Linked DNA regions of Lonchura striata. The protein of the gene in region 1 interacts with the protein of each later gene in a pairwise test. Links are inferred from orthologs where the notes say so. Each region holds a gene or a part of one and is shown in the gene's direction. Other genes may lie near its edges.

Region 1 (8,097 bases):
TTTATGGTGTTAGAGTTATTATCAAAACTCCAGAATTAAAATGTGGGTTACTTTTAGGGACAAAAACTTTTCTTATTTGAGGAGCAAACTAAGGAAAATGACAGAAGATAATTGTTTTGGTACTAATAAAGTGTACCTTTTGCTCTGCTTAGTATGCAGCAGTGCAGAGTACAGTTTTCCAGACTGCAAGCCCTGAGGACATTCAAGGAAAGCCCGGGGAAAGCGGGGGGGGGGGGGGGGGGGACGGAGGGGACGGAAATACTCCTTTACTTAGCCACTTCCACTTGCAATTTGGTTTAAGCCCAGCTGCTGGCAGTTCATGAAACAACATGAAAGGTTGCTTTGTGAGGATCTGAAATGGTAATGATTCTGCAAATAAGAAAACTGTCCTGTTGTAATATTTAACTATCAAAGTTCTGTTGCTTTGGTTATACAGGTGAAGCAAGAAGCAGAAAAAGTATCCTCTCCCTTGAAAATACTTGTGTAAGAAGTAATGGCAAAAGAGCTATTAAGACTCCTGTGGTGCTTGGAAGTGAATGTTAGGCATCTACCTTTGATACCTTCTTTTCTATATCCTTCCATTTTCTTCTCACATTAAATGTGACATTTTGACCCAGCATTGTTGTTGCAATATTATTGTATGCTATTAAAGAAGACAGAAGTGATTTCACAAAAAGCAGATAAGTAATTCATATATATTAGTTACCTTCATCAGAAGAGGGTGACAGGGCTTCACTAGTAAATTGTATTAATACCTGTATGAGAGCTATTACAGGAAAATACAGAAGTGTATGTTTATTACCATGCCCTGGTAATACTCATTGATTCTAGAAGTTTATTTTAACCCTCTTGTTCAGTTTAAGGGCATTATAGTCTCCTATGCTGTGAGCTGCAATATTTAAAACCTCATTAAGCCTATGACCTTGCACTTAACCTCTTTGCTCACTGTTTCCTTCTCTGTGGTAGCAAAGTATTTTTGTGCTGGAGGTCACTGTATTATTATTGAAATTCAGCCAGCAATGCACAACCCCACGACCCTGTGCATGAAGAAAAGATGCACAGATCCAAGATCAGGACAGAGACGTTGACTGCATGTGAGAGTCTTTCTTGATGCTGTTGTAGGCAGTCCTACTAATGCCCTGTTATCATGATATTCATGGAAAACAGCCTAGAATTTGACTAGGCAGTAGAGCCACATACCCAGAAAAGACTACAGACCTGACCATAGAATATGTACACACTTTGGGAGAGACTTTAAGGCTCTTCAAAAACATTGGTGACAATGCATATACCATCTTTATTAAATATTGACCATTTGTATTCTCCTCACATTTTGATAGCTTGCTCTTTTTCATTATGTTTTTGTCTTGTTTACTATAGAAGACAAGTAAACATTTAAATGTTTAAATTAATTAAATGTTGCTGAAATTTATCCAAATACCATTTAAGAGCTTAGATTTCTAAAAAGAATGATATTATTCCCAAAGTTGGAGTCAATGTAACATGGCTCTGTCAGTCCATAAGCATTGCATGACTGGAGAACAATTTACAGTGTAAATAGTCCTCTGCTCTGGGTCTTTCACAAGGCTTTACTTAATTCTGTCAGGGACAACAGCACACAGCAACAGAAAGGGCTGTAGTGAGAACGAAAGGAACTTGCACCACAGAGTGGCCCATGTACAAGTCCTGGTCAAGGTAATCAACCACCCTTCAAAAAAGCTTGAATTCTTCAGGTGTCTGCACTATGACAAAATCCACTGGATACTCCCATCCATTTCTGTTCGAGAGACAAAGTTGTGTAATAATGATCTGAATAGGAGCAATGCTTTATCTGAAGCATTATATGCAGTAAAAACAGTGCAAAGGAACACTCTATGACAATATGCTATTATATTTCACTTTTGGAAATCACTTGTGGCTGATTGCTTAATGGCAAACTTTACTGCTAAGATGAAACTGGCAGAATTCCTGTGTAATTATCTCCTGAAATCTCTAGTTAGTACTAAGCTCTGACTGTGTACTGACCCCTCTGGAAGCTCTCCCCAGTACACCAGGAAAGCAGGAAGTAACTGCTGAGATACGCATGTCCATGTTCCAGAAGTACCTTTGTTATTATCAGATACCCTAGGCCTAAAATTTGCCTGGTTTTAAACTTAGATATGGCATTGGCAGACTTTACAATGGCTCACAAGTCAACTACTTAACTTTTTACAATTTCAGGCAACTTTATTGTGCAAAAATATCAGAACTGACTTTTAGGCAGTGAAATATTGCTCTCTGGTTTTGATATTCTGGTATCTTGACAGTGGCACCAAAATACACAAACATTGTCCCATTTAGAAGACACGTAAGTGTGGAAAACATCCACATCCCGAGGCACTGCACCTCACCCTCAGTCCCAGCACTCCTGTCCAAGCCATCAGTATAGAATCACATTGTCTTCAAGTTCCAACTGTACTTCATATCCCAACAATGTTGCTCTATGTATACAATGATTCACCTAATTATCCACCCACAACTAATAACATAAAGGGGTGGAAATTTCTTAATTTTTTTCTCACAGTTATAAAGACTTAAACAATGTCCTGGTTTGTAAGATAAGCTTGTATTCTATTTGCCATCTGTTGGAGGTTGGGCAGGTTTGTTATCTTTTCCAAGAGCAATGGTTTGCTCCGAGGTAATGGTTTGTTAGTGGGCCATTGACTGACTCAATGCAGGGCTGGTAACGTAACACCATCCCATTGTGAGATGCTCCACCCAGAGGGGGAAGCCAAGCACTCTTTTATTGTATAAAGTGGTACCTTTTGGGAGACAAAGCAGCTCACTCTCTTTGCGGGATTCCCAGAGAAGCAGCTCCTTCGGCAGGACTCCCGAGAGAAGCGGCCGGAGCGCGCTGAGGCGGCGGCGGCGGAGCTCGGAGGCGGCCCCGGCGCAGAGGAAGACCGGCCCAGCTGCCACCAGATCTTCAGAGAAAACTATACCCTTCTAAAGATCACCACTGCAGCTGCAATTCATCAACCACTGCAAGAGGAGCAGCTATCATTTCAACCGGACTGCTACTGGCACCCCGAATCCTCAGGTTGTGGACTTTATCACTAGTTTTGTTTGTACCAATTGCATTTGCCTTTTTAAATTGTTATCTAGTTTTCTCCTAGTAAAGAATTGTTACTCCCATTCCCATATCTTTGCCTGAGAGCCTTTTAATTTAAAAATCCTGGTAATTTGGAGGGAGGGGGTTTACCTTCTCCATTGCACAGGAGGCTTTTGCCCTCCTTCACAGACTCCTGTCTTGTCAAACCAAGACAACTCATTTCCATGTGTATGGGATGATCAACTTGGTTAAATTTAAGACATTTAAGCTAATAGCATGAATCTGGGAAACTCACAGCTTCCTTGAGCCATGACCTGTGTATCTTTTCCAGAAGAGCAAGAGGCTGATGAGACAGAAGATAATAAGCAAAGAACCCTTATTAAACCCAAGTTTAATAGTGCTGTTGCCAGATGAAGAATTGTTTCCACATGGTGAATTTTTGCTAAGTGTCATTATGACCAGTTAAAGTTTTTTGTTGCCAGAAGGGATTTTCGTGACTGTGCATTTGTTCATGCAGGCAATAGTCAGTATTGTTATCTTTTTTTTTTTTTTTTTTTTTAATGGCAGAGCTAGCATCTGCCAGATGGGAGTTGAAAGTGACATAAGTGGGCTAGGAAATCAGCAATCATTGACATGTGTAGTAACTGCTGAGGAACAGATATGCAGTTGTGGCCATCCAGAGGCATCAGTGTCATTTTGGCACCTGACACACAAATTTCTAGAAAGATTGGGTTACTTGACTACTCGTTCCTCAGCATTCAACCATGAGCGAGCATCCAAGATGGGCCAGAAGGAAGAGGACAGGCTGTCTGCAGAGCAGAAGGGAGGAAAGGGAGAGCAGCAGCTGCACGCTCGTTTGTCTCCTGGTACATGCAGAGCCCTGCTGCTGTCCCTGCAGTGTCCCAAGCCCTGCTTGGGGACAATTATAATTTATAATGTCCCCAGCCACCCCAGGCCAGGAGACGAGCCAGCGGGCAGTGGCTGGGGCAGTGTGGTCCCGTGGGGAATCTCGGATGTTAGGGCTGCCAGGGCCCGCAGGGCACCGAGCACAGGCGGAGCTTACTGAACAGCTTCTGGCAATTCCGAGAAGCAGGCAGCTTCAATTCCAGTTTGATCTGTTGTGTGTTCATGAAGATTAATCAGCTTTAAACCTATGCTCATAAGCCAAATGCACCATGCACCAACACTGTTGTATTTATGTTTCATTTACGTCAACAGGATATTCCTTTCTTTCTCTAGTCAAAAGTCAGCACGGAAACACTTGACTCCCACTGGCATCTTTCATATTAAAAAGGATTTATCTGTGTAATACCTGGGTCTTGCAGAGGATAGCTTAAGGGCATGCTTCACATAAAGTGCTTGACGATTCTGAAGTCAACAAGACAGATGTTTTTTTTTTTTTAAGTCCACCGTTTATGATGGAAAAGATGATGAAACCTCCATGCCCCGAGGGACGCGTTGACCCTAGGGTTGTCCTGCGGTCACTGTGGGAGGCCGAGGCAGCTACATGCCGCTCCCTCCAGAGAAAGAGGGAGGTGGTGACGGGGTAAGCGGATCCCGACTGCGGCAGCAGCTCCCGGCCCATTGGCGTCCGGCGTCCCCAGAGCAGAGCAGGGCAGGGCCGGGCAGGGCAGGGCTGGGCTGGGCTGGGCTGGGCCAGGCCCGGCCCCTAGAAGAGCTGCGCCCTCACTCAAGATGGCGCCTTCAGCATCACCGAGGAGCTCTGACGTAGTGGCTGTCGCTGCCCAATGAGCTGCGCCGGCAGCGGCATCCGTTTGCCCTCAGTGAAGATGGCGGAGCGCGGCGTGGAGTGCCGGCGGCTGCGGTGAGGGTCAGTGTGCGGGGCCGGGCGAGGGGAGAAGGAAGCAAGCAGCGCGGAAAGGCGAGCGTCTGCGGCCGGGCGGGGGAGAAGGAAGGCTCCCCGCAGCGCGGCCGCTTCTGGGGAGCCGGGCACGTGCGCGGCCGTGAAATGGCGGCGGGGCCTGGCGCCGGCTGCGGGGCTGGGGGTGCCCCGCTTGCCCACCGCAGGCGGCGGGACCCCGGCCGGCTGGGTCCCAGCGCCCTGGCTTCTCTGAGAGCCGCGTGTCTCCGCAAGGAAGTGCCCGTGTGTTCATACAGTTTGCAGCGAGGCAAATGAATTAGCTGTGAAACGCTTCTCGAAGTTTTCGTCATACAAAAATATTAAATAGCCCGAAAATTTCTGCTTCGCACTGCATCAGCACTTTCTAATTCTTTATTCAAAACATAAAGTACTGTTTCTCCTTTATAAGATCGTTAAATATTTGGCATAATCAGAAAACTGTAAATCAACGGTGAAGGTACTTCCCAGTTATTGACTCTGCAAGTGTTAACCTGCGTGTAGTAAATTTTGTACACAATATGTAAAGTTGTGTGTATACATACAACTCGTTTTAGGGCACCACATGGAGGCTGTATGGGACTATTTGTCAGCTGCTGTTGGAAGCAAGTCATAAAGTTGTTTCTGCCAGCTGCCCTTGTACTGGCAGTATTCATAAATGCTGCGTTGGCATCTGTATGTGTGTGTCAGTGCCATAAGATGGGAAGGAGCTATCATAAATTGCCCTAATATATCTCAGAACTTAATTTACAAACAATGATCTGATTGCCTTTTCTTGACAGATGCACCCCAGTGGCACACAGCACCGAGTTCCCATGTACAGCTTGAATAATCAGCTCCATACCTGGCTTCTCTTCAGAATTCAGTTTTTTGCCAATACTTCTAATCTGACATTCACCAGAGGCACTTCTGAGAGTTTCTCCCTTTTTCTACCATATAAACAGAAGTCATAGGGCACTGCTGTTATGTCCTGGGTACAAGTGGCAGTCAGGCAGTCCAATGAGGATATATTTGATGAAGATGCAGATGAAATGTGTCTACTACAGAAGGAATGGAACAGCACTATGAAAAAGAGGTTGAAGGTATTTCTATAAAAATTATTTAATATACTTTTTAGTCATTTTAGATTTAGTGACATTTAACTTGGTATACATTTGAATGATTCAAAGGGAAAAGTAAAAGCAGCTGCTTAAAAGTTATTGTGGCATACTTTCTTCTGAATATCAGGAAAATATGGCAGAAATTTACATAAACAGTTTATGTAAAACTAAGAGCAAAGTACTGTTTTACCAAAAGACACTGACTCCTTCTGCACAACCATGTGTGTTTATAAAAGGCAGTGCTAAATTGTGATGCAAGCTACTTGCTTTGTACTTGTAGTTATACCCCTAGTAAATGAAGGGCAACAGAGCTGAACAGTGTGAATAAAGAAATGTGAGATGTTTGGGGTTTTGAGTATAGTTACTCATCAGCAGAATGCAAGATGTGTGACTCCATGTGTAACCACAACTGGGCGTTGTGGTCTGTGTAGGTCTTTGGTTGATTTATTCTCCAAGTGAAATATATATTTTATGAAAGCTGCTTTCCACAGCCCTTGCCTCTGCAGTTTTGTAGGGAACAAAACAAGTTCATAAATAGATTAATTCAATAGATACTGTGTCATTCAGAGTGGGGTCAGTAGGGCTCCTCTGCTCACAGTTGAGCAGCGTTTGGCTGAAGAACATGGATGGAAACCATAGGCAGTCAATGACGAGGAATGGTATTACAGCAGACTTGGTGTAGTTTCCTTCATCTGAGTTCCATGAAAAGATTGGTTTTCTTAAGGAACTGTTTAGTGTTCTTACAGAAATCCCACCGATATTTTTGAGTAGATGCTGCAAAATCATGAAGGGTTGTTGAAGTTAGAGTTGTATGTTGGGGAGAATAAATTTTTGTGCTCCAGACTACTTTTCTAGCAAGGCCACAATGAACAAATAAAACTTTTTGCTTTTGTAGCCTGCAATTTTGGTGTGAAAAAATGTTAAGAATTATTCTATATAACCTTGTATTGTGGTTATAATATAAAGAAAGTACTTTGCATTTCAATCATTAGCTGTATATTTAAAGAAAGCAGTCCCAGTGTTATGTGTATTTATATGTGACTCACTCAATCACGGTCTCTTTTTCTGCTATAACTCTTGAATGGAGTGAGGTCCAGCAAATAAAGGAGCAATGCTCGGCAGTTAATTTTGTGAAAATAAATGGATTCCGTGTAGATGGATTACAGATAGAAGAATACCTCTACTAAAGGGGAAGCTTGGCATATCTTTTTAAACAGAAAAAAAGGAAGTCTATGTGGTACTTCTAAGTCCATTTCTCACAAAGGAGTTGGTAATCATTAAAAGCAAACATGCTTCTTTTTTGATCTTTCTAAAAGAAGTTTCCCTCTTTTCTCACTTTCTGGGGAAAGTAAAAAACTGCATCTTATAGGTCAGTAAATCATAATATACTGCAACAAGCATGTTTTGGTTTGCCAGTGGGGGATGTTGAGATATAGAAGCTGTATCTTAAGAGATTGAATATTTGTGATACTTGTTTAAACTTCTTTATTATTGTTGTTATGTATTTGTCGGAGGTCAACTTTGTCATGTTGTGAGCAACCTGTTTCAATGCTTTTGTTACAGGAAGGCTATAGGGATGGAATTGAGGCCGGGAAAGAACTTGCACTCCAGACAGGCTTTAATCAAGGTTACAGACACGGTGCCAAGCTGATGATTACATGCGGCCAGTTCAAAGGAATCCTGAAGTAGGTTACAAACTCCTTAGGGTCAAGTATAGGTGGAGGATGTGTAACAGGGGAACACACATGCAGGTTTTTGTTTGTTTTATTCAAAAACCAAACCAACCAACCAAAAAAAAAACCAAACAAAAAGAACCAACATATTTTGAAACTGTCTGAAGTGAGCAACCTGAGAATTCCCGCATCTTGAGAACAGGGAATGCCTACCTGGGTGTAGAAATACTAATTTTTTAAAAGTCTCTTTCAGTTGCTCTTACAAAATTGTCTGAATCTACATATTTAACATTTAGTTCTACTGCCTGAATTTTCATAAATCGTGAATTATACCTAAATATATTTATGATACATAGATACCTTGTCACATTGCTG
Region 2 (7,819 bases), on another chromosome or scaffold:
TCACCTGTCTGTGTGTCCCTGTCATCTGTCCCTGTGTCCGTGTGTCTGTGTCACCTGTCTGTGTGTCGGTGTGTCCGTGTCACCTGTCCGTGTGTCTGTCCCTGTCACTTGTCTGTGTCACCTGTCCGTGTGTTCCTGTCACCTGTCCATGTGTCTGTGCCACCTGTGTGTCCGTGCCACCTGTCCATGTGTCTGTGTCACCTGTCCATGTCCAGCTGTCCCTGTCCCATGTCCCACATTGTGTCTGTCCCTGTCCCATCCCTGTCCCTGTCCCCACATGTCCCCGATGTCCCCACAGCGCCGTTGTCACCGTTCGTTGTCACCGTTTGTTGTCACCGTTCGCTGTCACCGCTGTCACCGTCCCCACCAGGACACCGGCGGCGGTGGCAGGGGGTGACGCTGTCACCACCCGACCTGGTGCCACCCCCCTGGGGTGTGACAGTGACACCGGTGACACCTCCGGGCTGCCAGGAGCAGCAGAGCCACCGAACAGAGGCAAAAGGGGCAAAAAGGGCCAAAACGCCCCAAAATCGGCCCCGGGGAGGGCTCGGGGTGACAAAAGGCACAACCGGCCCCAAAAACGGCGTCACCTCTGCGGTGTGGGGTCCTGGGGGTGGCACACGAGGGTTGGGGAGAATTTGGGGGGATTTGTGAAAATTTGGGGTTCTTGTGGTGCTGCACAAGGGTTTGGGTGGAATTTGGGGGGATTTTGGGGTTCTGGGGGTGTAACACGGGGTTTTGGGTGGAGAATTTGGGGGGATTTGTGAGAATTTGGGGTTCTTGTGGTGTCACACGAGGGTTTGGGTGGAGAATTTGGGGGGATTTGGGGCCCTCGTGGTGTCACACAGGGCTTTTGGGGGAGAATTTTGGGGGAATTTGTAAAAATTTGGGGTTCTTGTGGTGTCACACGAGGTTTTGGGTGGAATTTGGGGGGATTTTGGGGTTCTGGGGGTGTAACACGGGATTTTGGGGGGGGAATTTGTGAAAATTTGGGATTCTTGTGGTGCCACATGAAGTTTTGGGGAGATTTTGGGGGGATTTGGGGCTTCTTGGGGTGTCACATGAGGTTTTTGGGGAGAATTTGGGGGGATTTGTGAAAATTTGGGGTTCTTGTGGTGTCACAAGAGATTTTGGGTGGAATTTGGGGGTCCTGGGGGTGTCACACGAGGTTTTGGGGGAGAATTTGTGAGGATTTGGAGTTCTTGTGGTGTCACAAAAGGTTTTGGGTGGAATTTGGGGGGATTTGGGGGTTCTGGGGGTGTCACACGAGATTTTGGGTGGAATTTGGGGGGATTTGAGGGTTCTGGGGGTGTCACACGAGATTTTGGGGAAAATTTGGGGAAAATTTGTGAGAATTTGGGGTTCTTTTGGGGGGATTTGGGGTTCTTGTGGTACCACACGATGTTTTGGGGGGATTTGGGGGTTCTGGGGGTGTCACACGAGGTTTTGGGTGGATTTTGGGGGATTTGGGTGTTCCTTGTTCTGAGTGACAACAACCAGGAACAGCTTTTGGGTTAAAAACCCAAATAGGGTAAAACCCCCAAACTTGGAGTGGTTTTTACCCCATTTCCCATCATTTTTGGGGTAAAAAGGCCCCAGAAAGGAAGGGGAAGGAAAAAAAAGGCAGCAAACTCCAGAGGTGGGGTAGGGGCAGGCACAGCCTGGGGGGTTTGGGGTGATTTTGGAGCATTTTGGGCAACTTCACCCCTAAAAACCATCACTGAGGACAAACTCCTCCATTTCACCTCTGGGTTTTTTTGGGGGGAGGATTTGGCCTGGATTTGGGGGAACTTTAAACCCTTTTTTCTCCCCTTTTTAATATTTTCTTTCTCCTTTTTCAATTTCTCCCCCTTTTTTCAATATTTGTTCTCTTTCCACCTTTTTTTCCCTCCCCTTTTCCTAATTTCCCCCTTTTCCCCCCTTTTTTTTTTAACACTTTCTTCTCTTTTTGGAATCTTTCCCCATCACTTTAACTCTTTCCAAATCTTTTCTTTTTTGATTTTTGCCCACTTTTAAAATACTTTTCCCCTTTCTAAAGTATTTTTCTGTGTTTAGTATTTGTCCCTCTTTTGAATCTTTTTCCCATTTTTTATCTCCCCCCTTTAATACTTTTCCCTTTCTTTCAGTATTTCCCCCCTTTTTTAATCCTTCTTTTCCTTTTTCAATTTTTAAATCTTTTTCAGTTTTTTACATTTTAAATTTTCTTTCATTTTCTCTGTCTTTTCATTCTTTTTCTCTTTTATTCTTCCCCTTTTCCAAACTTTTTTCCTTTTTAAATAGCTTTTCCCTTTCCATCCTTTTTTGTTCTTAAATGTTTTTCATTTTATTATTTCTCCATTTTTCAATACTTCTAGTGACTTTTGTTCCTTTTTGAATATTTTTCTCAATTTCAACATTTTAAAACTTTCATCCTTTTAAATATTTTTCTGCTTCCACCCTTTTTGAGTATTTTCTTCCTTTTTCAATTTTTCCCTTTATAATTTCTTCCCTTTCCCGTCCTTTTCCAATCTTCTTCCCTTTTGCAATGTTTTAAAAAATATTTTTTCTTTCAACCTTTTCTCTTTTCTAACCATTTGTCCCTTTCTCAACATTTTTCTTTTTGCATCTTTTAAAATCCTTTTCCCTTTCCCAATATTTTTTATTCCTTTCATTATTTTCCCTTTCCAAGCTTTTTTCCTTTTCCAATCTTTTCCCCCTTTTCAATCCTTTTTCCCTTTCTCAGTTTTTTCCCTTTTCAATTTTTCCCCTTTTTAATCTTTTTCCTTTTCCATTTTCCCCCTTTTCAATCTTTTTTATTCCTTTTCAATCTTTTCCCCCTTTCCCAACCTTTTTTAATCCCACCTCTATCTTTCCAACCCCTTCCTCAACCTTTTTTTTTTTAAACCTTATAACCCCCCCTTTTTTTTTGTTCTTCCTCCGTTGCAGCCTTAAAGAAACTCCAAAAAAAGAAAAAAAAAAAAAAAACACCCAAAAGAAAAAAAAACCCCAACAACCCCAAAACCCAACCCACCAAACCACTCCCTTCCCAAGTATTTCAAAGTCGAGGAGGGAGGGAGAAAGAACAAAAAAAATAAAAAAAAATTTGCTTTTTAATTTTTTTTTTTTTAGTGCGTGTTTAAAATCACCGAGGGAGGGGGGAGGAATGGGCAAAAAAAAAAAGGGGGGGGGAAGGGTAAAAATCCTTTAAAAAATGAAAAGGGAAGCGTGACGAGTATGGAACTAGTTAACCTTTAACAATTTATGCTGATGTCACACTGAGCATGAGTACTGATTAATCCCCCCCCGAAATATTTTTATGGGAGTGAGGGGGGGGGGGGGGGAAGAATAAGGAGAAAGAGAAGAAAAAAAAAAAAGCAGAAAAAAAAAAAAAGAAATAATTTACCGCAGCCATCTTTGTTTTATGCAGAAAAATCTCCGGCTTCGGGTCCCCCCCGGCTGGGGCCACACAAATATTTGTCCCTCGCCGAGCCGGGATCTTCGGGAGGGGGAAAAGCAAAATAATATCATTAATGAGGCCCCAAAAGCGACCAAAAATACCCTAAAATGAGCAGGATGAGGATTATTCGCCTGCTCGGGCAGTAACGGCGAAGGCTGGGGGGGGGTGGGGTGGGGGGAGCTTTGGGATTTATTATTTTTCAGGGGTTTCGTGCTTTTTGATTTTTTTTTTTTTTTGTATTTTTAAGGATTTTTCGTGGCTTTTGTTTCTAATTTTTTAATTTTTTTTTTTTTTTTTACGTCGCGCGGTTGATTTTTAAGGTTTTTTGGCGCTTTTTTTTTTTTTTGATGTTTATTTTTACCCTTTTCAGCCCTTTCTGGTTTTTGTTTATTTTTAACCTTTTTTCCATTCCCTTCCCTTTTTAAATATTAATGTTTATTTTTGACTCTCCTCTTTTGCCATATCAATTTTAAGCTCGATTGTCCCTTTTCTTCCCATTCCTTCCCCATTTTAAATTTTAATGCCGATTTTTACCCCTTTTTGCCTCTCCTTCCTGCCCCTTTCCATTTTTCCACCTCATTTTGTCATTTCACCCTCCCTTTCCCCTCCAATTTAACTCCTTTTCAATTCTCCCCTTTATTTCCTTCATTCTTTTCCCTGAACGCTTCCCTTTCCTCCTTTTTTTTTTTTTTCCCCTAAAATATTAATTTCAATTTTTTTTCCCCTTCCTTAATTCCCCTCCCCCTTTCGCGGGTTGGGTTTTATCGCTTTTTTGTGCGTTTTTGAGGCTTTTCCCCCCTCTTTTTCACCCTCTTTCCTCCCTTAAGGTGCGTGTGGGGCAACTTTAAAAAAAAACCCTCATTCGGCCATTTTGCGCTTTTTTTTTCCCTCAAGAAGAGGGGGGGGGCACCACCCCCCCATTTCCCTCATTTTTAACCCCTCCCTCCTCCATATTTTTTTACGCCTTTCCCCCCCCTTTACCGGGGTGTGTTTTTTATTATTATATATATTTTTTTCTCTTCTTTTTTTTTTTTTTTTTTTGTGTGTGTGTGTGTTGAAAGGGGGGGGGGGGTTTATTTTAAAATTACACCCGGGGCGGCCATTTTCGCTGCCGGCGCCGTCCCGCCGCCCGGCGCCTCCCGCGCCCTGAGGCGATTTTAACCGATCCGGGCGTTTTTCAACCCATCGCCGCCGCCCCCCCCGCGCCCCCCGCGCGGCCCCGCCGGGCCCGGCCCGGGGGGGGTCGCCCCGTCCCGCCCCCTCCCCACTTTCCCCTCACACCGAGCCCCCCCGGCCTCGGCGGCGGGGGCGGTTTGGGGCGGTGGGAGCGGCGCACGCCGAGGGTCCCCCCGGCCCCCCGCCCCTCAGCCGGCCATGGCGTCCCCGCTGAGGGAGGACGAGGAGGAGGAGGAGGAGATGGCGGTGTCCGAGGGGGACGAGGAGGACGACGACGAGGAGGACGACGAGGAAGAGGAGGAGGAAGACGCCGCCGCCGCCGCCGCCGCTGCCGCCGCGCTCTTGGCCGGGCACCGAGGGCCCCCCGACATCTTCGCCGGGCCGGCCCCGGCCCCGCTCCCGCCGCCGCCGCCGCCGCCCCCCGCGCCCGCCGCGCCCGGACCGCCGGAGGCGCCCGCAGGTACCGCCGGGACCCCCGAGTGACCGCCCCGAGCCCCTCGGAGATTCCCCGAGTGACCGCCGGGACCCCCAGAGTGACCACCCCGAGCCCCCCGAGGGACCGCCCCGAGCTCTCCGAGTGACCATCCCGAGCCCCTCGGAGATTCCCCGAGTGACCGCCCCGAGCCCCCCGAGTGACCACCCCGAGCCCCTCAGAGCTTAGCGGAGTGACCACCCCGAGCCCCTCAGAGTGACCACCCCGAGCCCCTCAGAGTGACCGCCCCGAGCCCCTCAGAGCTTAGCGGAGTGACCGCCCCGAGCCCCTCAGAGTGACCACCCCGAGCCCCTCGGAGTGACCACCCCGAGCCCCTCAGAGCTTCCCCGAGGTACCGCCGGGACCCCCCGAGTGACCACCCCGAACCTCTCAGACCTTCCCCGAGTGACCACCCCGAACCCCTCAGACCTTCCCCGAGTGACCACCCCGAACCCCTCAGAGATTCCCCGAGTGACCACCCCGAACCCCTCAGAGATTCCCGCAGTTACCGGGAGCCCCGAGCCCCTCAGCGCTTCCCGGGGGTACCGGAACCCCCGAGCTCGCCGCCACTCGAGCCCGGCGCTTCCCGGGGGTACCGGGACCCCCCAAGCGTCCCCCCGAGCTCGCCGCCACTCGAGCCCGGCGCTTCCCGGGGCCGCCCCCCGAGCTCCCCCTTCCCGCTCCCTCAGCGCTTCCCGGAGGCGCCCGCAGCCACCGAGCCCCCCCGGTCCTCACCCGTCCCCTCAGATCCTCCCGCAGGTACCGAGCCCCCCCGGTCCTCACCCGTCCCCTCAGATCCTCCCGCAGCCACCGAGCCCCGCTGTCCCCTCAGCTCCTCCCGGAGCTTCCCGCCGGTACCGGGACCCCCGAGACCCCCGGTCTGCCCCCACTCCCTCAGAGATTCCCGGGGCCGCCACAGCTGCCGAGGCTCCCCGAGCCCCACTGTCCCCTCAGCGCTTCCCGCCGGTACCGGGACCCCCTGAGCCCTTTGAGCTCCATTTTCCCCTCGGCGCTTCCCGCCGGTACCGGGACACCCTGAGCCCTTTGAGCCCAAATCTCCCCTCAGCGCTTCCCGCCGGTACCGGGACCCTCCTGAGCCTCAATTTCCCCTCAGTGCTTCCCGCCGGTACCCAGACCTCCTTGAGCTCCATTTTCCCCTCAGCGCTTCCCCCCGATACCGGGACCTCTTGAGCTCCATTTTCCCCTCGGCGCTTCCCGGCGGTACCGGGGGTGGGCTGCGAGGGGAGGGAGGTGTTTGTAAACAACCGCGAGTGTCACCGCGGGTGTCACCGTGCGGCCACCCGTGTGTGGGGACATCTCTGGCCGCACACCGGCCCTGAGGGGACACGGTGGTGGCGGGGGCTGGTGGTGCCCTGCCAGGACCCAAAGTGGGAGCTGAGCCCATCGTGTGGGGTGACAGGGGTTGGATGTCCCCTGACAGGACCCAAAGTGGCTCTGACCCCATCGTGTGGGGTGACGGGGGCTGGATGTCCCCTGCCAGGACCCAAAGTGGGCACTGACCCGTCATGTGGGGTGATGGGGGCTGGTGGTGCCCTGCCAGGACCCAAAGTGGGTGCTGACCCATCATGTGGGGTGATGGGGGCTGGCAGTGCCCTGCCAGGACCCAAACTGGGCTCTGACCCCATCGTGTGGGGTGACGGGGCTGGTGGTGTCCTGCCAGGACCCAAAGTGGCTCTGACCCCATCATGTGGGGTGACAGGGGCTGGTGGTGCCCTGCCAGGACCCAAACTGGGCTCTGACCCCATCATGTGGGGTGATGGGGGCTGGTGGTGCCCTGCCAGGACCCAAAGTGGCTCTGACCCCATCGTGTGGGGTGACAGGGGCTGGCAGTGCCCTGCCAGGACCCAAAGTGGCTCTGACCCCATCATGTGGGGTGACAGGGGCTGGTGGTGCCCTGCCAGGACCCAAACTGGGCTCTGACCCCATCATGTGGGGTGATGGGGGCTGGTGGTGCCCTGCCAGGACCCAAAGTGGGCACTGACCCCGTCATGTGGGGTGACAGGGGCTGGATGTCCCCTGCCAGGACCCAAAGTGGGCTCTGACCCCATCGTGTGGGGTGATGGGGCTGGCAGTGCCCTGCCAGGACCCAAAGTGGTGCTGACCCATTGTGTGCGGTGATGGGGGCTGGTGGTGTCCTGCCAGGACCCAAAGTGGGCTCTGACCCGTCATGTGGGGTGACAGGGGTTGGATGTCCCCTGCCAGGACCCAAACTGGGCGCTGACCCCATCGTGTGGGGTGATGGGGGCTGGTGGTGCCCTGGCAGGACCCAAAGTGGGAGCTGAGCCCATCGTGTGGGGTGACAGGGGTTGGATGTCCCCTGCCAGGACCCAAAGTGGGCTCTGACCTGTCATGTGAGGTGACAGGGGCTGGATGTCCCCTGCCAGGACCCAAAGTGGGCTCTGACCTGTCATGTGGGGTGACAGGGGCTGGATGTCCCCTGCCAGGACCCAAAGTGGGAGCTGACCCCATCGTGTGGGGTGAGGGGTGTTGCTGTGCATCTGCCAGGACCCAGAGTGGCTGTTTTGCGGAGTGTTGGGGGCTGTAGGTACCTGACAGGACCCAGGTCGGCTGTTGCACCCCATATTGAGGTGTTTGGTTGCTGATTCTCCCCTTCCAAGACCTGAATGGGTTGTGTTATCCTATATTGAGGTGTTTGGAGGTTGTTTTTCCCCTTCCAGGACCTGAATCACCCTGTTTTGAGGTGTTTGGGGGCT
Region 3 (7,458 bases), on another chromosome or scaffold:
AAAGAAATTTTACAATAAAAGGTTTATAAATTACTGGTATAATTGCATTTTGTGCCAGGAGAATGACAGAGAAGTAAAAGAATAAGTTTCTTTAATTTTGAAATAAACACAAAATAAAGAAGGAAAAATTATGCAAGAGTTATAAAAAGATCTCTAGAAACTTATAAATAGAACACTTGAAAGTATGGCTTGTTTCAGGGCTATCACAGCTACTCACCAGATGTTCAATTAAACACTGTTAAGCAAATATTTTTAATCAATATTTATCTTTAACAAAAGCCAACATGAAATAAGCAATTAAATCTGTTCTCAGCAATTCAAGCAAAAACTAACTCTGCCAAAACCAATAGTTACTCTGCATTTAAAGTCATGCATATGAGATTAAAAATATGACATAACCACTGAGCTGTCATACAGGACTCAAAAATGTTCTAATATACTGAATTCCTGCAATTTCAATGTAGTTTCTTTTCTCTATCTGAAAATACCTGATTCTTCTGTATTTCCATATCAGTCTTGAATAAGGCAATCCATATTTTTAAAACATCTGCCACTTTTCTGAGAAATCATTCAGTTACATTCATTATCTTATCTGAACAAAGTAAAAGAAAATCTTACCTTAGGTGAACAAGGTTCGCCATTATTTATCACAGTCTTTCCTAAACTGAACAAAAAAATATTAAGACAAATAAATGAAGTTACCCTAAAGTGGCGGTTCATCTTTTACTTGAAGAAATGCAAATGTTTTGATGGGTTTCAAATTTCTGTGGAAAGAATTGTACACTATGAAGGCCTGATCTAACTATTTGGGAATGTCTACAGCACAAAGGACAGCCAACACATCACTCCTTTACTGCCTGGATTTAATAAACCACATTTCAATTGCACAGTAGATTTTATATATTACTACTTGAATCCTGAAGGAAAATTACAGCTTATCACCTCTACATGACACATCAAACATATATTTTCATTGTCATAAACTCTGACAGATTTTCTTATATGCTATTCTTGAGCATTTTTGTATATTTGGCATGAGTGTTCTGGGTTGCTTGAAAGAAAAACTAGTATCACTTGATGTTTTCAGATTTTTACCAAGTTTTTTTATCATTAAAATGAAAGAGTCTGTACTGCTGTGGTGATAGTGCACTAGAACAGGATGTGGAGGCAGTTTTGGAATATGTCATCAAAGTAATTTCAAAATAGAGAACTGAATAAACATTATTTTAAATTAATACTTCGTATTGCATAGAAAATCTTTTACCAGGAGAATAACAGCAGTATGTTGGTTTCACCGGTAGCCCACCCATTGTAACACAGGTACTGAGTCTGTCATTCAGTACAATGATTTTTATCTCTGAAAAAAGTCAAAGTACAAGAGAATGGCATGAAAAAGAAGAAAATTAAATGCTTAATTAAAACTATGGGGCACTTACAGATTTCATTCAATTCCACTACTTTTGTATCTTAAAACTGGATCTGACAGTCTAAGAGGAAAAAAAAGTTCACAAAGGTCAAACATACTTAGAGAATTTAGACACATTAGAGAATTTAAATTGTTTGTGATCTGGCTGAATAAATGAAACCTCAGCTTCCAATGTACCACTGGGAAATACACTGTCTAAAGGATCTTTAAAATACAGTGTTAACCTGCATGTTACACCGGAAGAAAATGTTTCAAATTTGGCTTGATAATGTGATTAATCTCCACCTCTATCTAAAGCTGGAATACACTGGAAATAGTTTTTGCTACTAAGACTAGTTGGGAGCAACCAATATTTGTTGGGAGTGGGGATTAATACACTTTTTAATCCAATGTTTTCTTTGAAAATTAATACCTTAATGGCACTAAGAACCTGTAACTGAGAGGAGTATATTGAAATGCCTGTGAAATTCTGAACAACTTTGGCTCTTCTGTATTTCTCAAAATTATTTTTTTTTTTCTAAAGTACCACATGGTACATAATAGTTTTCCAATATGAGAATTACTAGGGTTTAATTAGTGCATCACTTGATGCTCTCTCCAGAAGATGCAGGTTGTGATCATTAGTTCAGTCTAAGGAAAAATGTGAAAAGATTTCCATGGCTCTCTATATATCACATTAAGGGCAAACTAACAGTTTTTCTTCTTCTTTCTATGTACATCAATAGGTAGAGTGACAAATTTCAGGCAGGAATAGTTAAAATAGTCAGAACATTATCTTCTCCCATGCAGTTGCCTACACAGCTTGAAGAAAAACTATGGAGCATCAGCAGATTAATCCTCCACTGGAATAAGAAGGAAAGAAAAATGCATTTCTGCAGCAGCACAGCTATGCTCTAGCCTTCAAATAAGACTTGTAATAAATTCAGAATACATCCCACAAAGTTTTAAAAGCTGATCTTATCCTTCACTGGAATATCAGTGTCCAGCCCAAAGTAAAATTTATGAAACTTCTTTCAAACCAGCTGTCAGAGCAGGACCTTCCATTCTGTAACTACTTAAGATCAGGTTTCTTGCTGCCCCAGAATAATCATACACTTCTGAATTACATGGCACTCAGCTTGTCACCTTCTTGTCCCACAGTCTGAAAAATGTGAGGTTACTCATGAAGAGAAATTATCCAATAACCACAAAGAAGGACTATGGAGACTTAATAAAAAAGTAAACAAGATAGAAATATATATAAACACTGAGGAATTTCTGAATCTCAATAGGTATCTTAAGGTGAAGCTGCAAGTTGTGCTGTATTACATGAAAATTTTCAGCAAATCTAAGGAAGCTCAAAATCTGTCAGTGGCTTGAGTTGACCATGACCTTCAATCTCGTAGGTTGAAGTGATGTGCACGGGCCCAAATTCTGTCATTTCCCAGCTCTGTCTCAGTTCTGATTGGGTGACTCAGTTCTCCATCCTGATAAAGCCTTCTACTGCATCCTAAAATAAACAGTGCATTTTATCAGGCAATCTGGGAATTTAAATGTGGGGGGGGGTTGAAAAGCCCACAGTGGTAAATTGACAACCACTTTTCCCCCTTCTGCAACAAAACAGAACAGATGGGGCAAAGAAATGGTGAAATTTGGGTTGATTTTTTGAAGCAGAGTTGAAAGACTTCCATTTTAGGGTGGTCTTCTAAATGGCAGTAACTGGGATACTATAAATATTGAACACATTTGGCAACCTGCCCACCACTGGTCTTGACCGTAAAATGGTAACAGCAACACCCACTTCCCAAACTGTGCTACAAATATGAGGGAGGGGTCTGTGGAGAAAAGTATTTTACAAATGCGGAGTACTATTTTTTTTACCTTCCTAGTCAAAGACATAGAACAGCTGTACACTGGGAAAAAAAAAAAAAAAAAAAAAAAAAAAGGAAGAATTGGTTTAAGCTCAAATACATCAGCCAAGAAATGTCTCCCCAGGAAATCACCAAGGCATTTAGCCTGTTGCTGACAGCTCATCCAAGGCAGGGCAATATCCCAAGACAACACCCTGCTTTGCTTAAAAAAAAATATAAAATAAAAGGGGGAAAAAAAAAGGTTTTGTAGTCATTAGAACAAACTGGAGGGTTTTTTCGGTTTTTTTTGGTTTTTTTTTTTTTTTTGTGTTTTTTTTTGTTTTGTTTTGTTTTTGATTTTTTTTTTTTTTTTGTTCTTTATGTAGCTGTATTCATAGACTTGTAAATATTTTTTATATAATAGTCATCATTTTGTGCATCAACTGATGCACAAAACATCTTTGGTGGTGGTTGTTGCTGTTATTTCTGCATCCTGTGTTTAAAAAGAAAAAAAAAAGTTTATGGTGTTATCTCCAGGTCTTCAAGAAGCCTAAGAGGCACCCGCACCGCAGAGCTCTGCAAAGCCCGCACACGGGGCCGGGCGCAGTTTGCCCACGAGCTCGCCCGGACCCCGTGTGCTCGGGGCTTTTAGAGGTCATGCCGCGGCTGCAGAGGGTGGAAAGCGCAGCGAGAGCCGAGCACCGTCCCTGGCAGGGTGTCCGCACGCTCTCCCGCCGGGACGGGACAGCGAGGAGCGGCTCCCCCGCGCGGCTCCCACCCTGGCGGCGTGTCACGGTTTGACACGAAAGGGAGCTCAGCCCCACGAGGACCGCCGGGCGCGGCGGCTCCCGGCCGCCGGCCCCGCAGGCGGCGAACGCGGAGCCGCCGAGCGCGCTCCGCCGCGCCGCTGCTCCCGCCGCGGCCCCGCCCCGTTGCGAAGGAAGCGGCGCCGCCGGTTGCTACGCGGCGCGGAGACGCGCGGAGCGGCGCGGCGGGGCCGGCGCTGCATGGAGCTCGGCGGCACGGAGCTCGGCGGCACGGAGCTCGGCGGCACGGCCGGCGGGGCGGCGCGGGGGCAGGTCCCGCCCGGGGCCCCGCAGGACCGCGCGGGCGGGCAGAGCGTCCCTGCGTATCCTTGCTGCGGCGTTTCCCGGGCCGGCCGAGCCTGCGTGCGGCCCGGGCCGCGCCGCTGCGTGCGGCCCGGCGGGCGGCGGCGGGGCCGGGGCCGGTGTCGCAGCCCCCGCCCTGCCCCGCGGTCAGGGGCCGCCTCAGGGGCGTCTTCAAATTGGAACTTGCACGTTGCGGGTTTGAAACTGCCGTGGGAAAGTTGACTGCTCCAGCAGCTTCGGAGTTCTCTTGTTTTCCCTTTTCTGGGAGATTATGCCACTAGGAATAGGGTTTTCCATCCTAACTTGGGGGTTCTTGTTTTTTGAATCTTAGTAGTAAGAACTACTGACGCAAACTCTTAAGATTATTTACTACGTAAATAATTACTGGCATGATGCAGGACTGACCTGGCTCTCTGGAGAGCTTTTATTTAGTGATGTTAATCAATTTCAGTGAAAACAACTAATCCTTTAGGGTGTGGGAGTGTGTGTGTGAGGGGATGTTTACTATTTAAAATTTTCCTTCTCATATCTGCATCCTTATGTTACAGGTTTAGGTAACTACACAAAATGTCCCTTCAAATGAATATAATAAAGGTGGGATTTTTCAGCTGGTGATACAATGAAAGATGAGTGTAAAGCCTCTCCTAAAATGCTTTTTAAAAGTAAAGTGCAATTATTTTTTTTTCTAGATGAGCATAAAGTTAGTTATGACTGTAAACATACAATTATGGGACCTCCTTTATATAAGGTCAATCACACAGGCTGTTATATCTTTTAATGAGCTGTTCCATACAGTTTCTATTGTCCTTAACACAGTCTTAGGGGTGGAGATTTGATATTTCATTTTGAGCAGGATTTACAAGAAGAACGTCGGGCATTGAAAGAGGATCAAAAAATGCATCGAAGCAAGGCAATGAAATATTTGATGGAGACAAACAGAAGAAGAAGGCAAGTAACTAGGGTTCCTTTAATGGAGGATTGTAAAAAAAAGATAAAACCAAAGCAAAAGGAGTCATAACCTTGAGACAGATCAATATATCTCTACTATTCTCATGTTCATTTTGATAAATAGCTCACTGCTTTGGCCTAGAGGAATTTAAGCTGAAAAGTTTCAGCAATCCAGTTTCTTGCTATAGGACAAATAAAATAAAACGAGCAATATTCTGATTTGCTCACTAATTTTTGAAAACTCACTGTAGTCACATCTCATATAAACTAAAGGTAAGTAGTACTTTCATCTTGTGGCTCTGATCTGCATTTCTAGTGTTCTGGGTTTTATTAGCTTCAATGCATGTATGAAAAATGCACTCAGCTGTACAGAGTGGGCCAGCAGAAGGCAGTTGTTGCTTTCTGAAGTGTGTGCTTTTTTGTCTGCATGGCATAACAGCTGCTCAGCTTCCCCTTCATGCCAAGGCTTTGTGCTCCCATTTCCCAATAAACACAAAGCAACATTTTTCTTGTACAGGATAATACTTATAATAAACTTATTTTGTACATTTTAAACAGAGCTTTGCATAATCTGTCTTCTGCATACATGAGAATGCAAAGCCATGAAATATACTGTGGCAAATGGATTGAGTAAATTATGCACTGAAATGTCTCAGTGAAGTGCTGTGAGTAGTTCAGTGGGAATAGAGGTTTTTCCCCTAGGACTGAGGTGGTGCTCACACATACAGGGGGCTCAGCTGTGTGTACTGGAGAGGCAGATGGGTTCCTCCTTGCAAGCCCCCAGCCTCAGACCAGCTTCCTCTGCCTCTTGTTAACTCACTAATGCTTGTGCCCTGCAGTTCCCTTATCTGATGACTTCTGTTGTGCAATGTTCACTTATTGCATATGTTCATAACTCAGAAGAGAGGTGGTATTTATTGTTTATATTGCCATTTTAGCCTGACAGTATGTGCTGTCAACTTACCCTTTGAAATAAAAAGAAATGGAAGAGGAGATAAAATCAACTGTGAGTAATTAAAGACAGAGTGCGACCCACAAACTTTGCAGATAATAAACTAAGTCTCAGTTGAAAAATTAAATACCTAATTTCTTTTTCTGGAACAGAACCACTGCAATGCTACACATCTCAGATGAACACTGTTTATTGTAATACTGGTCTTGAAATATTATACTTTAATGTAAAAGCAAGTACCAGACAGCCTGCATATTTTTGACAGACTGGTGTAGTTAAAGTAATACTTGTGGATACATAAATACATTTCCATATGTATTTCATTGCAGCCTTAGGAAACACAGTATAAATCCAAGTTACTCAGGTGAGTCACTTAGAAATTTAGGTATGGTATTCGTAAAACAAAGTAATTTCAATTTGTGATAATTGAGAATGGCATAATTATTAGCACAATAAGCAATTCAAATGGAGTCTGTGGTAACAAGTGTTCTCCTAATAACTGAAAAGGAGTGAGTTAGTTAATGTTAGAAAGGTAGAAAATGCATACAATGTTACAAGCTGTGACATAGATAATTAAAAATCCTGTATATGTGCAGGAAAGTAATTTGAAAATAAAGTTCTTTGAATCTACATATTTTTTTCCTGGGATTTATGCAGGTATGAATTGATTAATCAACCCTCAGGTTGTGTCTCAAGTCTATATGATCCAAGTTCCATTAGCTTTCTTATACATGTGAAGGTGTTAGATGTGATGATGGTTTCTCAAGAGTAGCATGACGTTCTTAAACTCCACATTCTCACCTGGCAGCACCCAAAATTCTCCCTGCCAGGGCTTACAGGTGTATGTCAGGAGTGTTCTTGGCACTGCTAGTGTATGATTTCAAAAGAAAATTTGTATCTTTTGCATATTTTGTGTGGAGTGTAAGAATGAGTGCACTGTGAAGTGTGACAGACCTCTAACCTTCGCATAGAATGGTTGAGTTAGGACGGGACCTCTTGATCTGTTTGAACACCTCTACTCAGGAAGGACAATCCTCCACAACCTCTCAGGGCAATCTGTGTCAATGCTGTCATCCTTACCAAAAAAAAGTGTTTCCTGATATTCTAAAGGAAACTTCTGTGTTTCTGTTTGGTCCTGTCAGCAGGCATCACTGAAGACAGCCTGGCTGTCTCCTCTTTGCACCTTCCTTCCAG
Region 4 (7,908 bases), on another chromosome or scaffold:
ATCCTTAGCAATTTCAGTAAATTCTGAGTGGAAAAAGGTGGAAATTACCTTTTAGCATTGTTTTACTGATTGGCCACTCTGCCTTTCTACTGACCTGATCCTGAAGCCCTTGCACAGGCAAATCTCTAAATCAGCTCTGGCATCTGAGACTTTTTTCCCAGTGCTCAGACAGGATAAGTGTAGTGGCTGTGGAGAAGCACATCCCAGGATTCAAAGCTTATTTAATGGGATGGACATGGAAAGAACTTCAGGGCTTCTGGAATAGAATAGAATAGAATAGAATAGAATAGAATAGAATAGAATAGAATAGAATAGAATAGAATAGAATAGGGACTGGGAAAGCCAGGATACCCCCACTGAGGGACTAGGACTTTTCCCACCCAAGGTTTGTTTTGTGGTTGAATACAACCAGCCTGGTGGGCATATTTTTAATTCTCACTATTCCTTGCTTTTCAGCTCAGGTATTCCACTGAAGACTGCTCCTTCGAGGAGGAGATTCGCCCAGACGGCTACAATGTGTATAGATCCAAAAAACACGGAATATCAGTGTCTTTGAGCAGTGCCAAACAAAGACAGCAGTTCAAGGGGAAAGATTTCCTTCCCCTGTCTCACTTCTTGCCCATGATCAACACTGTGCCCATGGAGTCAGCAGACTTTGGTGAATATGGTGATTACAGCCAGGCCTTTGAGCCAGAGGCCTTCTCCTCGCCTCTGGAGACGGACAGCATGGACCCCTTTGGCATCGCCTCCAAACTGTCCCTAGTGAAGAGCCCTAGCTTCCAAAACTGACTGTGCTCCCAACATGTGTTCACAGAAATACTGAAGAGTACTGCAGGGTTTGTAGCTTTTTGTGTAGTGGTATTTGGGAACTTTTTTGTGTGTTTGAGTATGGAGCCAGCCATGTCCTTGTTGTACCTGTAAGAGATGAGTGCCAAGAGGCTGTTCTATAGTCTAAAGATTTGTCTAGCCATAGTTTTGTTTGGAAAAGAAGAATTAAATCCAAAAGTTTAGCAGCCTTATCAGAATTCTTCCATAGGTGGTGATAAAATAACTGTAGTTTTTCTACACCAGCTTCACTTCCACCTGTTGTAGCTGATCATACAAGCAAATGCAGAAAAACTTTTCCTCTTCAGAGACTTCAAACTCAAACACTTGGAGCAAAACTAGATGAAGGAAAACATCCTACCAGATCTAACTTGAGTTAATGCTTCTTAAAAGGTTGCTAACAACATTCTGGGGAAAATTTTCTGTGGAAAGAGTGCTACTGAAAAAACAAATCTGCTTGTATATTGTGCTTTTTCTTCTCTTAGAAAATAAGAGAAGAAAGGAAAAAATTCTCTCTTCCCATACTGCTAAGAAGTACTTTGGGAAACTTGATCATTGATTTCTTTGGTAGACTAAATTATGTTCTCTGTGGCATCAGAATCATCTGCAGAGAGTTCTCATTAACATCAGTGAGGATTCAGTGTGTGATTGGAAGAGTACCCAGGGCTAGGATTGATGTTCATCAAGTAGGGAATGAGCAGCTCAAATGAACGTTCAAATGAAGATTCTGTTGTATATAAGTCTGTATATGTCATTAGCAAACAGAGAAAAACACTGAGAACAGATGTATAGGTCAAATCAGTCATAAAATAGGTTTTTGTGTTTAACCTTTAACCATCAGAAATTCTTTCAAGTCACTTCCAGGCTTGATTCAGCATCCACGGGAATCAGTGGAGAGATGGTTTAGTGAGTTAAAAGCTGCAGAACTGGGTCAGGATTCTCCTTGCAAGAAGGGATTGTGAGTACCTCTGGCCAAGGCACTCAATGTCTTCAAGTTCTGTTCTCCCTCTGAAAAGATTCAATGGAGGAATAATCAAGGTAAAGCCAAAGGAGGGGGGGGGGGGGGGCGGGGGTGGGAAAGGATGGTTCAGGGATTCCACTTGTTTCCAAAGGTTCATTTATAATACAGATTTCTGTAAAAAAAAAAAAAAAAAAAAAAAAAAAAAGCTCTAGTGGAAATACTGGTGTTCTTCTGACCTAGCACTTCATTGCCAATGCAATATTTATAATTAATTTATTGAATACATACATCTGTTTATTTTGCTACTGTTATTTATGCTCAAAATTCTATTTATATACTTCTGAAGGTGGGTTTTTTAGTTGTTACAAATCTCATGAAGCTTTGTAATCAAGAGAATTTTAGCCAACAATAGCCAATTTTTAACCAATTTTTAAATAGCCGGAATTCTAGCCAATTTTTAAATTTCTGTACCTTTTCATTAGTGTAATGTGTACATTTCAATAAAAGAGAAAATCATCTTCAACACTGAAATCTGCTTGACTCTTTTGTCTCTCTCCAAGTGCCATATCCACACATCTTTTAAATACCTCCAGAGATGGTGACTCAACCACTTCCTTTGACAAAGAAATCCAAAAATCCTATGGGTAGAAGGCTCCTCCCATTTAAAAATGGAAACCATTCTAACCAGTGCTGCCAGGGAGAAAAGTGGTGAAAAATATGTCAGTTTCTGGCAGGAAAAGACCCTGAATGTTTCCATTTGGAAACGCTGTGAGACACAGGAACAGCAGATTTCTTGGCTGGCCAACATTGCCCATGGTGTTTTCCCATTCTCTTTTGTGCTGAGCCACTGCCACACATCCGGAGGGTTCCCACTCCTTGTGTGCTGGAAGAGGTAGTTCTGATTTTCTTTGTTTTATTCCAAAGCTTTTCAGATTTAAGGGGGTTTCATTTCTGGTTTCGTTTGATCAGCCACTGTATTTTCTTTGAATGCTTTTCAAGACCTTTCTTTAAAAAACAAACAAACAAACAAACAAAAAAAACCCAGAAAACAAAATAAAATAAGAATGAACTTTTAAAGTTTGGGCAAGAAAAGAAAAGTCACTTTTACTCTTCTACTAAAAAATGGCACAGATTTGACAGGAAACATGGCAAATAATGGAGTTTGGAGGGTACACAGTTTAACTGAACCAGTGAGAGATTTTTTAAGTGGGTGTAACATTGGCAATGTTTCTCAAGGGTGAAAAGATAGGCAACCTTACATTTTGGGAACATCATACTGAGCTCTCTCGTGACCCTATTTGCTGACACCTTTGGCTTACATTCTTCCACCGGCGGCACGATGATTTTTCCCTGCAACAGCATGATTAGAGGTTGGTTCAATATTTATTCAGACAGAGAGAAGAATGCCAGGAGCTAAATTAACCCACACCACTTCCTGGAGCGCTTCAGTTTTCATCGTCGTTTTCCCATCCCAGCTCTGACCAAACCTGGCTGTTTTGCTTACAAAATCTGACAAGATCTCGGCTTGAGGTGGGAGGATTGCTGGGAAATGCCTGCGACACCTGACTCGGTCGGGAACCGGGTGTGCAAAACCTCCAAAAAGCACCTTTGGTTCTGTGGGAATGTAAACACCACCAGCAGCCGTCAGCACAGCCCTGTCCCCTGCCCATCACAGCTCCTCAAAGGCAGGAGGACAGCGGCGCTGCTTTCATTTGCAGCAGCACATTTTACAGCCCTGAAAGGTTTTTAAAGCTCAGGTGTCAAATGTCTCCTTGGGAAGTCTCAGCTGGAAGTTGTGATTTGCAAATACGAGTTGTTAGAGAAGCTGAGAGGCTGAAGGAAAGGAGATACTGAGCGTCTTCATTTCTTTCATTGGAGGAAGTGTAAAAACGTATAAATCAATTCAAAGTCACAGTGTCCACTTTACCTCTGCTCAAATCACTGAAACTGATGGAAAATTTGGGGGCCTCTCTTTCTACTCTGCCAGTGTCCTTTGCATATGAATGGGGAACAACCTGATAAATTAAATAAAATTTCTCTTTTTTACCTCAAAAATATACATATTCCAACACCAGGGTGGCAGAATAGTGTGACCCAGAGCCACATTTTCATTAAGTATCTGGAAAGCAATAGTATAAGTTGACTTTAAAACAAGTGCTTGTAAATGTTTCCTTTGACCAGTGTTGATCTGTAACAACTAGTATTTTAATAAAGCAGCCTAGAACGGCACACTACAGTTTGAGTGGGTATTAACACCAAAAATATTTTCGTTTTAGAATCATAGACTGGTTTGGGTTGGAACGGACTTTAAAGATCATTTCATTCCAGGGGCAGGGACACCTTCCGACGTTGCTCGGAGCCTCATCCAATCTGGCTCTGGACACTTTCCAACTTCTCTGGGCAACCTGTGCCAGGACCGCATCGCCCTCACAGGGAAAAACTGTGGGCATCTGCACCAAAAATACACTTCTTGAGAGCCACAGCTACCAGCGTGACGTGAGAGAGATGTGCAAACTCCATCATTCCGCGCCCGGCGATAGCAGCCGAGAAAACGGCGTGAAGCTGTGTGGGGGCAGGCTCGGGTCGGACACCGGGAGAAGGCTCCTCAGCCTCACTCACAGCGCCACGGCTGGCGGAGCTCAGGGGGCGTCTGGACAACGCTTAGAGGCGCGGGGCGGGATTTTTGGGACGCGGGGCGGGATTTTTGGGACGCGGGGCGGGATTTTTGGGACGCGGGGCGGGATTTTTGGGACACCCGAGCTTCCTCCACGCACAGCCGCGGCCGGACTCCGCTCTGTGGCGGGGCTCGCGCGCCCCCTGGCGGCCGCACGCCGCAGCCGCGTGTGGGCGCGGCTTCGCCGCCAGGGGGCGCGCCCTGGGCGCGCGAGCCCCGCCCCCTCGCGCGCGCCGTCCGCTCCCGGCGTGCCCCGCGCCGCCATGGCCGACCTGTTCGATGGGATCGTCATGGCCGAGCAGAGGTGAGGGCACGGAGGCACTCCGCCGGGCCTCTGCTTCCCGCTGCGAGCTGCCAGCGGAGCGCCAGGGAAGGAAGGCGAGCGCTGAGCCCGAGGAGGAGGGCGGGGAGGGTTCGCCTCTCTGCGCATTCTGAGAGCCTGAGCAGCGGGGAGCGGCCTGGGGTTGTGTCGGGGTTGGATGTCAGGGAACGCTTCTTCATCCAGAGCATGGTCGGGCGCTGGAATAGGCTGCCAAGGGATTGGTCTCCGCACAGAGTGGGACCGGCCGGGTTGATGGGCTGAGGTCAGCAAGGCCGAGTGTCGGGTCCTTGGGCCGCCTCAACCCCTGCAGCGTTCCAGGATGGTGGGAGAGTTCCTGAAAGCATCCCAGAGGGAAAAGGGTTGGGGGTGCTGGCCAGAAACTGCTGAACACGAGCCCAGGTGTGCTCGGATGGCCAAGAAGGATGATGGCATCCTGGCATGTGTCAGCAGTAGTGTGGCTAGCAGGACCAGGGCAGTGACTGTCCCCCTGTTCTGGGCACTGCTGAGGCCCTACCTTGAATTGTGGGGTCAGTTTTGGGCACCTTAATCCAAGACATTGAGTTGCTGGAGTGTGTCCAGAGAAGGGAATTGAGCTGGGGCAGGCTCTGGAGCACAAGTCTGATGAGAAGCGGCTGAGGGAGCTGGGCGGGCTCAGCCTGGAGAAAAGGAGGCTCAGGGAGAACCTTCTCCCTCTCTACCACTCCCTGACAGGAGCCCCCATGTGGGGCCAGACTTTACGTCCTGGTAGCAAGTGACAGGACAGAAGGAAGTGCCCTTGAGCTGCACCAAAGGAGGTTTAATTTGGATATAAGGAGGAATTAATGGAAAATGTTGCCAGGCATTGCTGAGGGAGCTGCTGGAGTCACCATTTCTGGGGGTGTCCAAGGAACAGCTGGATATAGCACTCAGGGCTCTGGTCTGGTTGACACAGTGGTGATCATTCAAAGGCTGGGCTGGATGATTTCAGAGGTCTTTCCCAACCAAGACAAGCCTGTGATTTTGGAATTTGAATTTATTTTATGTGATATTTCTAAGCTTTGGAGACGATGCACTTTTTTCTTGTCCAGAGCCGCTCGCGTCCAGTGTGAGCTTGACAGGAGATTAAGCAAGCTGTGATTCTGCACTCCCAGGTTCCAAGGGGGGTCTGGACAGGAGATTAAGCAAGCTGTGATTCTGCACTCCCAGGTTCCAAGGGGGGTCTGGACAGGAGATTAAGCAAGCTGTGATTCTGCACTCCCAGGTTCCAAGGGGGGTCTGGACAGGAGATTAAGCAAGCTGTGATTCTGCACTCCCAGGTTCCATGGGGAGGGCTACCAGGAGGGGCTTGCAGAGGGCAGCCACGCTGGAATGACTGAAGGCAGGAGGTACGGAGCGCTCCACGGAGCCAGGATGGGCTCAGAGGTAAATGGGGAAACTCTTCAGCACTGGAATCTTCTTGTCATTAGAAAATTACAGCCACAAAGAAATTTTCAAGCTGAGGCCTGCTGTGTTTCATTGCTCTGTTTGTGTCCAGGAGGACCCATAAAACTGCTTTAAAGATGCTGTTTTGAGCTGGAGAGTTCAGGAGATGCAGTTGTGTTTTGTTTATTTGCTCTATGGAGCTTCGGTAATCTTTTTTCCCAAATTTATGGCTAAAGGTCCTCTGCCCCCCAGTACCATCTCCTGTGGCCCAGCATAGGGAAAAGCATGGAATCTTGAGACATGAAGAATCAGTTCTGTGTGTCTTATGCACCCTTTGTTAATTGTGATGCTGGGAGGTTTTGTGGCACTGTTCCTGTTCTGCTCTGTGTTCTGGCACACCCGGATCAATAACCATTCCTAGGAATTCAGGGGCTGGAGACTGGTGGGGAGGCGCCTCAACTTGTGCCATATGTCAGTTTGTCACAGCTACAGGATGGGAATGCCAAACAGCAGTCTCCAGAGCTGGATGGTTTGTACAAAATGGTCCTGGACAGACCATAAGAGAGAATTTGCTCTCATCTCCTCATACTGGGAAAGCTCCAGAAGGAGGCAGGATTAGACACATCAAGTGAGAGGGTGGCTTGGGTAACCTTATGCTTGTCAGCCTTTCCAGCTTGGAAACATGTTTGTGTACCCATGTTTTAGGTTCCTGAAGAGTGAGATACAGTGTAGTGTTTTATTTTTGTTCCACTGTCTATGCTCTGTGTTCTGTGGGGCTTTTTCTTTCCTTCATGACTCTTTTAAATTAATTTTAGATTGGTTGCTACCTTGGGTTTGCACTGACGTGGCACTGTCTGCTCCAGAAAAGCACAGAGGAAAAGAACAGGTGAGGTTAAAAAGGCTTAAAGTCATTTCACTACGACTTCCATTCTTCTATTTGTATCTTTTTTCTTTGGTCCCATTTTGATTAATCTGTCTGCCAGAATTCCCTTTTTTTTTTTTTTCTTTATTTTGACCAGTCATCTAATCAGAATTTTTGTTGATTCTTGAATATTTCTCAATTTTGGACTAGTAAGTTGAAATGGAAGCCTTAAATCTGTCAATTATGCTTAGTTCCCAATTTGGAATAATGCCTAGTTTGGATAATTTCTTATTTAAGAATATGGAACACACCTGACAATGGGCTGAATGGGAGAAGTGGAATTAAAGAAGGATGGAGGGCTGGGATTTGTGCTCTGGATTATTATATATCAGTATAATTTTCATATTGATGGATTGAAAAGACTCCTGTGTGAGGATCATTGGGTTTTCTTTTGATTTGATTAATTTTGTTTTTTCTAGCAAAAAGATAAAGGCTCTGCATTCATTAATAGGGATGATTCAGAAATTCCCATATGAAGACCCCACTTATGATAAGCTGCAAGAAGATCTGGAAAAAATCAGAGGAAAATTTAAACAGGTTTGTAGGATTAAGTTGTAATTTTAATATATAAATTCACTTTTGAAGATACTTTGTTTCTAAAGCCACTCCAAAATTTTGTGAAGCAGTTATTGCTCCCATTCTGCAATCATAGCAAAATACTTGAAGTGAGATAAATTAAGTGAAAACCTTTGATAGTTGAAAATTTCCCAAGCAATAACAAATGCAAAATAAAGGAAAAAAAATTCTTTAAAAAGCAAGTTCGGAATAATCTTTGACAATTTGAATTACAAGTGGGACCAGAA

Evidence for each region.
Region 2: the proteins of YAE1 (region 1) and CHD3 interact in a two-hybrid assay, tested with the Homo sapiens proteins (2 studies listed by BioGRID and IntAct). The link is inferred for Lonchura striata from reciprocal best matches to the Homo sapiens genes YAE1 and CHD3.
Region 3: the proteins of YAE1 (region 1) and CEP126 interact in a two-hybrid assay, tested with the Homo sapiens proteins (2 studies listed by BioGRID and IntAct). The link is inferred for Lonchura striata from reciprocal best matches to the Homo sapiens genes YAE1 and CEP126.
Region 4: the proteins of YAE1 (region 1) and LTO1 interact in binary tests that used the Homo sapiens proteins (3 or more experiments, as listed by UniProt). The link is inferred for Lonchura striata from reciprocal best matches to the Homo sapiens genes YAE1 and LTO1.

What each region holds. Positions count from the first base shown.
Region 1 is NC_134603.1:103,309,454-103,317,550, forward strand, and holds the start of YAE1 (protein YAE1 homolog), read left to right. Parts: upstream 1-4,849; 5' UTR 4,850-4,916; exon of another isoform or gene 4,917-4,922; intron 4,923-5,731; 5' UTR 5,732-5,914; coding exon 5,915-6,031; intron 6,032-7,612; coding exon 7,613-7,734; intron 7,735-8,097. UniProt on the Homo sapiens protein: The complex LTO1:YAE1 functions as a target specific adapter that probably recruits apo-ABCE1 to the cytosolic iron-sulfur protein assembly (CIA) complex machinery. May be required for biogenesis of the large ribosomal subunit and initiation of translation.
Region 2 is NC_134636.1:1,912,487-1,920,305, reverse strand, and holds the start of CHD3 (chromodomain-helicase-DNA-binding protein 3), read left to right. Parts: upstream 1-4,708; 5' UTR 4,709-4,810; coding exon 4,811-5,072; intron 5,073-7,819.
Region 3 is NC_134604.1:42,133,569-42,141,026, forward strand, and holds the start of CEP126 (centrosomal protein of 126 kDa), read left to right. Parts: upstream 1-4,315; 5' UTR 4,316-4,384; intron 4,385-5,186; 5' UTR 5,187-5,259; coding exon 5,260-5,312; intron 5,313-7,458. Other genes in the region: ANGPTL5 (angiopoietin-related protein 5), read right to left, coding at 619-720. UniProt on the Homo sapiens protein: Participates in cytokinesis. Necessary for microtubules and mitotic spindle organization. Involved in primary cilium formation.
Region 4 is NC_134608.1:55,207,722-55,215,629, forward strand, and holds the start of LTO1 (protein LTO1 homolog), read left to right. Parts: upstream 1-4,688; 5' UTR 4,689-4,723; coding exon 4,724-4,764; intron 4,765-6,077; coding exon 6,078-6,183; intron 6,184-6,998; coding exon 6,999-7,069; intron 7,070-7,524; coding exon 7,525-7,642; intron 7,643-7,908. Other genes in the region: FGF19 (fibroblast growth factor 19), read left to right, coding at 457-789. UniProt on the Homo sapiens protein: The complex LTO1:YAE1 functions as a target specific adapter that probably recruits apo-ABCE1 to the cytosolic iron-sulfur protein assembly (CIA) complex machinery. May be required for biogenesis of the large ribosomal subunit and initiation of translation.